2 linked regions of the Callithrix jacchus genome follow. The protein of the gene in region 2 purifies or fractionates together with the protein of the main gene of each other region. This does not show direct contact. Links are inferred from orthologs where the notes say so. Each region holds a gene or a part of one and is shown on either strand. Other genes may lie near its edges.

Region 1 (4,399 bases), on a different chromosome or scaffold from region 2:
GTTTATTTATCAGACTCTCCTATAATTCCCAAGATTAAAAAATGGCAAAGAAGATGGGGTCTGGAATCAGGTTAATGAAGAAAAACTGGCCAGGCACGATGGCTCAAGCCTGAAATCCCAGCACTTTGGGAGGCCAAGGCGGGTGGATCACGAGGTCAAGAGATCGAGACTCTCCTGGTCAAATTAGTGAAACCCCGTCTCTACTAAAGATACAAAAAATTGGCCGGGCGCGGTGGCTCAAGCCTGTAATCCCAGCACTTTGGAAGGCCGAGGCGGGTGGATCACGAGGTCAACAGATTGAGACCATCCTGGTCAACATGGTGAAACCCCGTCTCTACTAAAAATTACAAAAAAATTAGCCGGGCACAGTGGCGCATGCCTGTAATCCCAGCTACTCAGGAGGCTGAGGCAGGAGAATTGCCTGAACCCAGGGGGCGGAGGTTGCAGTGAGCCAAGATCGCACCATTGCACTCCAGCCTGGGTAACAAGAGCGAAACTCCGTCTCAAAAAAAAAAAAAAAAAAAAAAAGATACAAAAAGTAGCTGGACATGGTGGCACATGCCTGTAATCCCAGCTACTCAGGAGGCTGAGGCAGGAGAATTGCCTGAACCCAGGAGGCGGAGGTTGTGGTGAGCCGAGATCGCGCCATTGCACTCTATCCTGGGTAACAAGAGCGAAACTCCGTCTCAAAAAACAAAAACAAAAACAAAAAAAAAAAAAAGAAGAAAAACTAAGAAAGTAGCAAAAAAGGACCTGGCGCATCACACCTGTAACTCCAGCACTTGGGGAGGCCAAGGCAGGTTCGTCACCTGAGGTCAGGAGCTCGACACCAGCCTGGCCAACATGATAAAACTCTGTCTCTACTAAAAATAAAAAAATTAGCTGGCCGGGCGCGGTGGCTCAAGCCTGTAATCCCAGCACTTTGGAAGGCCGAGGCAGGTGGATCACGAGGTCAAGAGATCGAGACCATCCTGGTCAACATGGTGAAACCCCATCTCTACTAAAAACTACAAAAAATTAGCTGAGCACAGTGGCGTGTGCCTGTAATCCCACCTACTCAGGAGGCTGAGGCAGGAGAATTGCCTGAACCCAGGAGGCGGAGGTTGTGGTGAGCCGAGATTGCGCCATTGCACTCCAGCCTGGGTAACAAGAGCGAAACTGTCTCAAAAAAAAAAAAAAAAAAAAAAAAATTAGCCATGCGTGGTGGCAAGCGTCTGTAATCCCATCTACTTGGGAAGCTGAGGCAAGAGAATGGCTTGAACCCAAAAGGCGAAGGATGCAGTGAGCTGAGATCACACCACTGCCCTCCAGCCTGGGCAACAAGAGCAAAACTCCATCTTAAAAAAAAAAAAAAAAGTAGCGATAAAAACAAAAACGTTTTTCCTAACTAGAGACTTACTCTTGATAAAGTGTTTACACGCATCTAATTACAACTCTATATATGGCTTTCTTATATCCAGCTAATACCATGTTTTAGAAAACCACGGACCAACTCACATGCAATTCGTCTCTATTACAGGAATAAAGATATAGATAGCTGTGTCCAAGGCTTTAAGCTCAAAAGACTCAAGCTATGCCACAAAAATTAGTAATTTCCCTCAACAGTCTATCAAGGCTCAATCTCCATTATGAGTTCTGATTTCTATCCTTTAAAAACACAGCACAGACCTGACCATTTTCTATCAATAAGATACACTTGCTTAGGGTCCCTGCGCTGTTTCCCTTCCCAAAGGCCAGAGCCATGTCTGTCCCTTTGGGGTGGATGATGACACACAGATTCTTCCTCACTCTGTTTCCCTCTGCATTAAGTTCTATCCATGTGGAGGACAGAACAAAATCAGCCTCACTCACAAAACATCAGAAAACGTTCCACTGGAATACAAACAAAGGAATCAATGAAAAGAAAATCTGAGATCAGGTGTGGTGGCTCATGCCTATAATCCCAGAACTTTGGGAGGCCTAGGTGGGCAGATCACCTGAGGTCAGGAGTTTGAGATCAGCCTGGCCAACATGGTGAAACCCCATATCTACTAAAAATACAAAAATTAGCTAGGTGTAGTGGCTGTAATTCCAGCTACTTGGGAGGTAGAGGCAGAAGAAACACTTGAACCTGGGAAGTGGAGGATGCAGTGAGCTGAGATCACGCCACTACACTCCAGCCTGGGAGACAAAGCAAGACTCCATGTCAAAAAAAAAAAAAAAAAAGGCAGGGCATGGTGGCTCACACCTGTAATCCTAGCACTCTGGGAGGCCGAGGTGGGTGGATCACCTGAGGTAAGGAGTTCAAGACCAGCCTGACCATCATGGTGAAACCCCATCTTTAAATAAATAAATAAAAATTAAAAAAAAAAAGGGCCAGGTGCCATGGCTCACACCTGTAATCCCAGCAATTTGGGAGAGTGAGGCAGGCCAATCACAAGGTCAGGAGTTCCACATCAGCTTGACCAATATGGTGAAACCCGTCTCTACTAAAAATACAAAAATTGGCTGATGGCAGGTGCCTATAGTCCCAGCTACTTGGGAAACTGAGGCAGAAGAATCACTTGAACCAGGGAGGCGGAGGTTGCAGTGAGCCTAGATGGCGCCACTGCACTCCCGCCTGGGGGACAGAGGGAGACTCCAACTCCAAAAAAAAAAAAAGAAAGAAAGAATAAAGAAAATCTGATGACCACAAAATCAGGCTAAGAGGCTTAAAAGAGGAAAATCTAAATGTGTCTTCCAGAACTTCTAAGGTGTCTCACCTGGGACCCCACAATAAAGGTCCGAGTTTGAGAGTCCAGGGTCTTCACCAGCACCTCCAAACTGTCAGGCTCCTCCACAGCCGTACTGGTACTATCATTAGGCTCCATGGCCGACAGCTCTCTAAAGAAGAATGAAGAAGAAAGGCCCGTTGTCTCCCAGAGCAGCGTGTACCCGGAAGCCTCCCTAGCATTAATCCCTGCCCCAATACCTAAAAAGTTTCTCCTGTACAAACACACACATTCACACTTGCCCCCATCACCCTTGTAATTCCGGGGCACAGGGAGAGAAACACAAAGGGCAGGAGATCGACGGCATAGGAGCTGGAGGACAAGAGGTGGGAGGGGCTCCACGATGCCAATCACAATAAGGGGGGAGCCAGTCAGATTAGGAAAAAAGCACGAGACCAGAGACCAGTGTCATCACCGGTCACGACGGGACAAACGCCCCAGAGGTCACAAAATCCTGGGACAAGGCGAAAGCGGGGGTCGCGCCACACACTGCGGAGAAAGTGGTTTCGCGCACGCGCGCCACGCCCGTCGAACCCTAACTCACTAGACCCAAAACGGCACTCACGGGGCGCCGTACGAGCTAGCTGACTGCCCTCGTCTACTGCCTTCCCACGGTGTTCCAGCAGAACCGCACAACTAACCTACGGCCAACCACAACCACACACACACACATACACACACACCCAACGACCCCGCGGCTCCGCCCCCGACTTCCCCACGGACCGTCACTTCCGGTCTCCCCCAACCTGCCACCGACGGCCACTTCCGTTTCCACGATAGTATTTGGGGATCTCAAGGCGATACTTCCGGCTCCCCCCAGGTCCCCAAGCTTTACTTTTGTGGGGCACGACGAGAAAGTCCACAGCCCCAGTGAGTTTCTGAGGGCGAGTCGGGCCGGGGCCGGCCTAGGTGGGAGGGAGCCGAGGACCCCGAGGAGCCGCCGCCGCCGTCGCCCAGGGGACCGTACTACGCCTGCGTGCGTTGCACTACGTATGCGTACACACTGAAGCACCGCTCCACCCCCCTCTGTCGGCTCTCGCTTCTCCTATGCGAGCTCTTGAGCGCTGGAAGATTGAGGTGGCTACTGTAAATGCCTGAAAAACAATCGCCAGATGGGAGTCCACCACTGCTTCGAGAGGGGCTATGGACGGTCGCATGGACCTTGGATTTGGAGATGGAGGATTATGCCACATTAATCTATGTTTAAATTTTGGCAGGCTGAGAATTTCAGGCGGCACTGTCCTAGCCAGCTAAAACTCTTCCCGACCCTATCGCCCTCGCTGCGCCCTTCTTTCTCCGCCACCGGAAGTTACTTTCAGTAGGCATTTGGGGGCGGCAAGGATGTATTTGGGTTTTGGTTGGTTGTTTGGGCTAGATATCGGTTCTGCCGGGTGGGCGTTTTGCGGGCTGTGGGTGTCACGTTCGTCGGCGGTGTGCGGCCAAGGGGACATGACACGTTTTAGGAAAACTAAGCATGCTACTAACTCGCAGGACTTTTTTCAAGAAATGAGGCGCCTCCGAGTTTGAGAATTGGGAGCAAATGGAGTCCGAGTGGACCAAAAGACAAGACCCTGACGGTGGGGAATTGAAAGGCCGGCCAACGTGCTTCCGAAGGCTGGGGTGGAGGCATTACCGCCTCTCCGTGCCCT
Region 2 (3,809 bases):
CTTGCTCTGTTGCCCAGGCTGGAGGGCAGTAGTGCAATCTCAGCTCGTCTCCTGGTCTCAAGCAATTCTCCTGCCTCAGCCTCCCAAGTACCTGGGACTCCAGGCACCTGCCCCCATCCCCATCCCCAGCCAATTTTTGCATTTTTAATAGAGATGGAGTTTCACATGTTGAGTAGGCTGCTCTTGAACTCCTGATCTCAAGTGATCCACCTGCCTCAGCCTCCCAAAGTGCAGGGATTACAGGTGTGAGCCTTCACACCCAGCCCAATAGACTATATTATTTTACCATAAAAAGGAATAAAGTACTGACACATGCGACAAATGGATGAATCTTGAGAACATTACGCTGTGATAGAGACCAAACCCAAAAGATCTCATATATATGACTCCATTTATGCGAAATGTCCAAAACAGGCAGATCCCTTGATCCAGAAAACAGATTCCCAGGGTGAGTGGGAAAATGGGGAGTGACTGCTAATACACGAGGTTTCTTTTAGAGGGTACAAAATGTGCTAAAGTTAGATAGTGGTCATGGCTGCACAACTCTGAATTTACTAAAAACCACTGGAATGTACCCCATAAATGAATATATGCATTATAGCCTAAAAACGTAGATAAAAGAAAAAGCTAACTAAACAGCCTCCATTTCTTCATGTCCATGCTTTCAAGTTCTCAGCATTTCTTAGAAGCACACCCCAAATCTTTCTATTGGTCTTCTTGCCACTGACTTACACACTTTAAAGGGGTGAATTATATCTCAATAAAGCTGTTGTTTTTAACAAAAGGAGAAAGACAAAGACTAGCTTTCTCCCCCCGCTGCAGCAGATGAGCAACTGTAAAGTCATTTTCTAGGGATACATCCACAGGGGCCAGGGAAGGACCAGGACGTAGCATCACTGAGGGTCACGTCACACTCCAAAGCCATTCCGTTTTCCCGCCACCTACCTGGCTCTTCCATGTGAACAATGATCCAGTTGAAGGCCACCTCAGCGCCCATATTTCCAGTGAAGTACACAGCCTTGCGACATGCTTCCAGAGGGAAACCCATCTCGGCCAGCTGCATCACTGATGACTCATCAATGTCTGATGCTACAGAGCACAACAGGACAGGCTAGTGTGAAAAAGGAAACACTATTGCTTCTTGTCGTAGCTGCTCATCACGCTCTCATCCACACACTACCCAAAGAAAGCGCTGTTTTCTTGGGTGTAAATAACGGTTTCACTGTTTAGTTTTGTTGTAAGCCATCCAAATATTAAGCTATTTGGGCTAAGTTTATATCTTTGACCCAAATAGGACCCAGGTTAATTATCTGGACAATCCAATCTGGCAATACACTAAATCTCCCCATAGGAAATTAGAGAAAAACAATTCCGAAACGATTTCAGAGCATCCTCAACACCTCTCCAGCAGCCTCTCCTGTGGCTGAAACTTGAAGAGAAAGCACTATCTACAGCCAATAAAGCCTGTTCCTTAAACCTCACAGAAAGTCACTGCAGGCCTTTACATCCATCTGCAATCACAGGAAGCAATCAGCTCTGGGAGATGGAGAGTTCAAATGTTAAGTATAGAAGGAAAAAGTTCCTTGTTTAATTATGCAAGTTTAAAACACTGAGAGACAGATTTACCAAGTAACTTAGGCTCAGACACAAAGAGCTTTGTTTCCTTTTGTTAATAACATATAGATACTTGTAGAAATGTGTGTGAATCTGTGCATACATACGGATACAGACACGTACACACTGCTCTCAAATTATACCAAAAGAGGAGAAAAACTGGAATGGCGGGCCAAGATTCTGACCCACTGCTTAGCCTCATGCTAATGGTCACTCTCCTGAGCCCCACAGGCCACCTGATCAGCAAGTCACTGACTAGGGGACAGAGAATCGTTCCCACCCGGGAAAAGCAGCACATACAGATGTACAGAACAATGGCTCTGTACTGAACTCTCACACACAGGTTCATCAGATTAATAACAGTAAGACTTGAGAAACATTTTTAAAGATACATACGGTCTATCAGTTGGTTCATCAGGCGATCTGGAAATTAAGGGAGAGGACAGAAAATGAGAAGATTTAGGAAAAGAAAACCTGCTGTATCCAGGGTACCCCCCGTGCCCTCCCCACTCCTGGGGAGCTACACACTGCTGTCAATCCCACAACCCCACACAGACCGCCCCAGCCTCAGTGAGGAGAGAAAGCAATAGCTTTCAGGCATTAGGTCAGTTACAACACGACGCTCCGATCATTATCTGAACAAACTACCATTTCCCTATTACCTCCCTATTACTTCTTCTTGAAAAAAACTTTTTTTTTTGAGACAGGGTCTCATTCTGCTGCCCAGGCCAGAGGGTGGGGCAGCAATTGTGGCTCACTGCAGCCTCAACCTCCTGGGCTCAGGTGAGCCTCCTGACTCAGCCTCTTGAGTAGCTGGAACTACAAGCACATGTCACCAGTCACCACGCCTAGCTAATTTTTAAATTTTTTATTTTTTGCAGAGATAGTATCTCACTATACTAACCAGGCTGGTTTTGAACTCCTGGGCTCAAGTGATCCTCCCACCTCAGCCTCCCAAAGTGCTGGGATTACAGGTGTGCACCACTGTATCCAGCCTCTGTCTGTATTTCTAAGAGCTTTATGTAACTACAATCCGAAGATTCTATTATGAGCATCAGAGAGAGCCGGAGCAGCACTAATGAGCCATCCTGTGTTTATCTGATGCTGATCCTTCCTCAACCCCCTTAATGAACCACCTGAACTCTGTGACCTAGAACGTCCCTTCTCTAACTCTCTCTCTATGACTTAGCATCTGAGCCAACATCAGAGAACATACACAGACGTCTATCTGAATCCATCCTGTACCTTCTAGACTCACCTTGCACTTCCTTTATACCTGATCATGCTGAGCAATAACACTGACTGTTTGCTCAGTCGTTGCGAGTTAATTTACCTGAGTAACCCACCAGGCAGATGACAGTAAGCGGGCGAGCGAACAAAGCCAGAATGAAACTGAGTCAATCAGGATAACTGAGCTAATAATTAAACTAAGATTTTCCTGACACTGTTTTTGAACCCACAAAGGTGAGGCAACTATTTCTGGCATTTCTTTTTCCACGAAAAAGTTATGTATTCTGAACAGTGACCAGTGACAGGGTCACAAAGTCAAAGAGAAACTCAAACCTCTTCCTTTCTCCAAAGCAGTAACAGAGTTGGGGAGTTGAGATGCCGTCACGGTTTTTAAAACCAACTCATACTGTTGAATTTCCCCTTTGGGTTGTCCAAAGGTATTCCCAAGTATGCAATGACACAGCTTCCCAGACTAAGACCCTACAGAAAAACACTGTCCATTTCCACCACTCATGATGGGTCTGTGCCTCTTGCAATGTCTATTTTATGTTTCCTGCTGCAGTGTGCTGAGGGGGCGGGGGTTACATCACAGGAGGGCGGCCAGACGCCCCGTGGGTGGTGGCAGCAGCAACAGAGTGCTGAAAGGGAGAGTGTTCCTAGAGGACACGGTGTGAGGGTCGAGCGTGTTCTCCTGGCAGGAGATGGTACCTTTGGAGTCATCGGGAATGACGATGGGGGGGCTGATGTCTGGAAGTTCCTCCTCTCCCGGCTGCAACCCCCTGGCTCGGAGGTGGTTGATATCAAGCAGGTCTGGCATATCAATAGAAACATCTGCAAAAGGAGAAAGATCACACTCGCGGGGCTGTCCACAGTCACCTTGTTATAGCACCAGCATGGGGACTACATGCACGCGTCTAGGCAGAGCCAAGGGATGTTTTCAACTCCCTAGAATACGTCTCTCAACC

The links.
Region 1: the proteins of USP13 (region 2) and BAG6 purify together in Homo sapiens (affinity purification with western blotting; 3 studies listed by BioGRID and IntAct, with this or other methods). This does not show direct contact. The link is inferred for Callithrix jacchus from reciprocal best matches to the Homo sapiens genes USP13 and BAG6.

Annotation. Positions count from the first base shown.
Region 1 is NC_133505.1:39,151,922-39,156,320, forward strand, and holds the start of BAG6 (large proline-rich protein BAG6), read right to left. Parts: upstream 3,072-4,399; 5' UTR 2,983-3,071; coding exon 2,951-2,982; intron 2,863-2,950; coding exon 2,742-2,862; intron 1-2,741. UniProt on the Homo sapiens protein: ATP-independent molecular chaperone preventing the aggregation of misfolded and hydrophobic patches-containing proteins.
Region 2 is NC_133516.1:7,987,823-7,991,631, reverse strand, and holds part of USP13 (ubiquitin carboxyl-terminal hydrolase 13), read right to left. Parts: intron 3,676-3,809; coding exon 3,553-3,675; intron 2,038-3,552; coding exon 2,011-2,037; intron 1,090-2,010; coding exon 946-1,089; intron 1-945. UniProt on the Homo sapiens protein: Deubiquitinase that mediates deubiquitination of target proteins such as BECN1, MITF, SKP2 and USP10 and is involved in various processes such as autophagy, endoplasmic reticulum-associated degradation (ERAD), cell cycle progression or DNA damage response.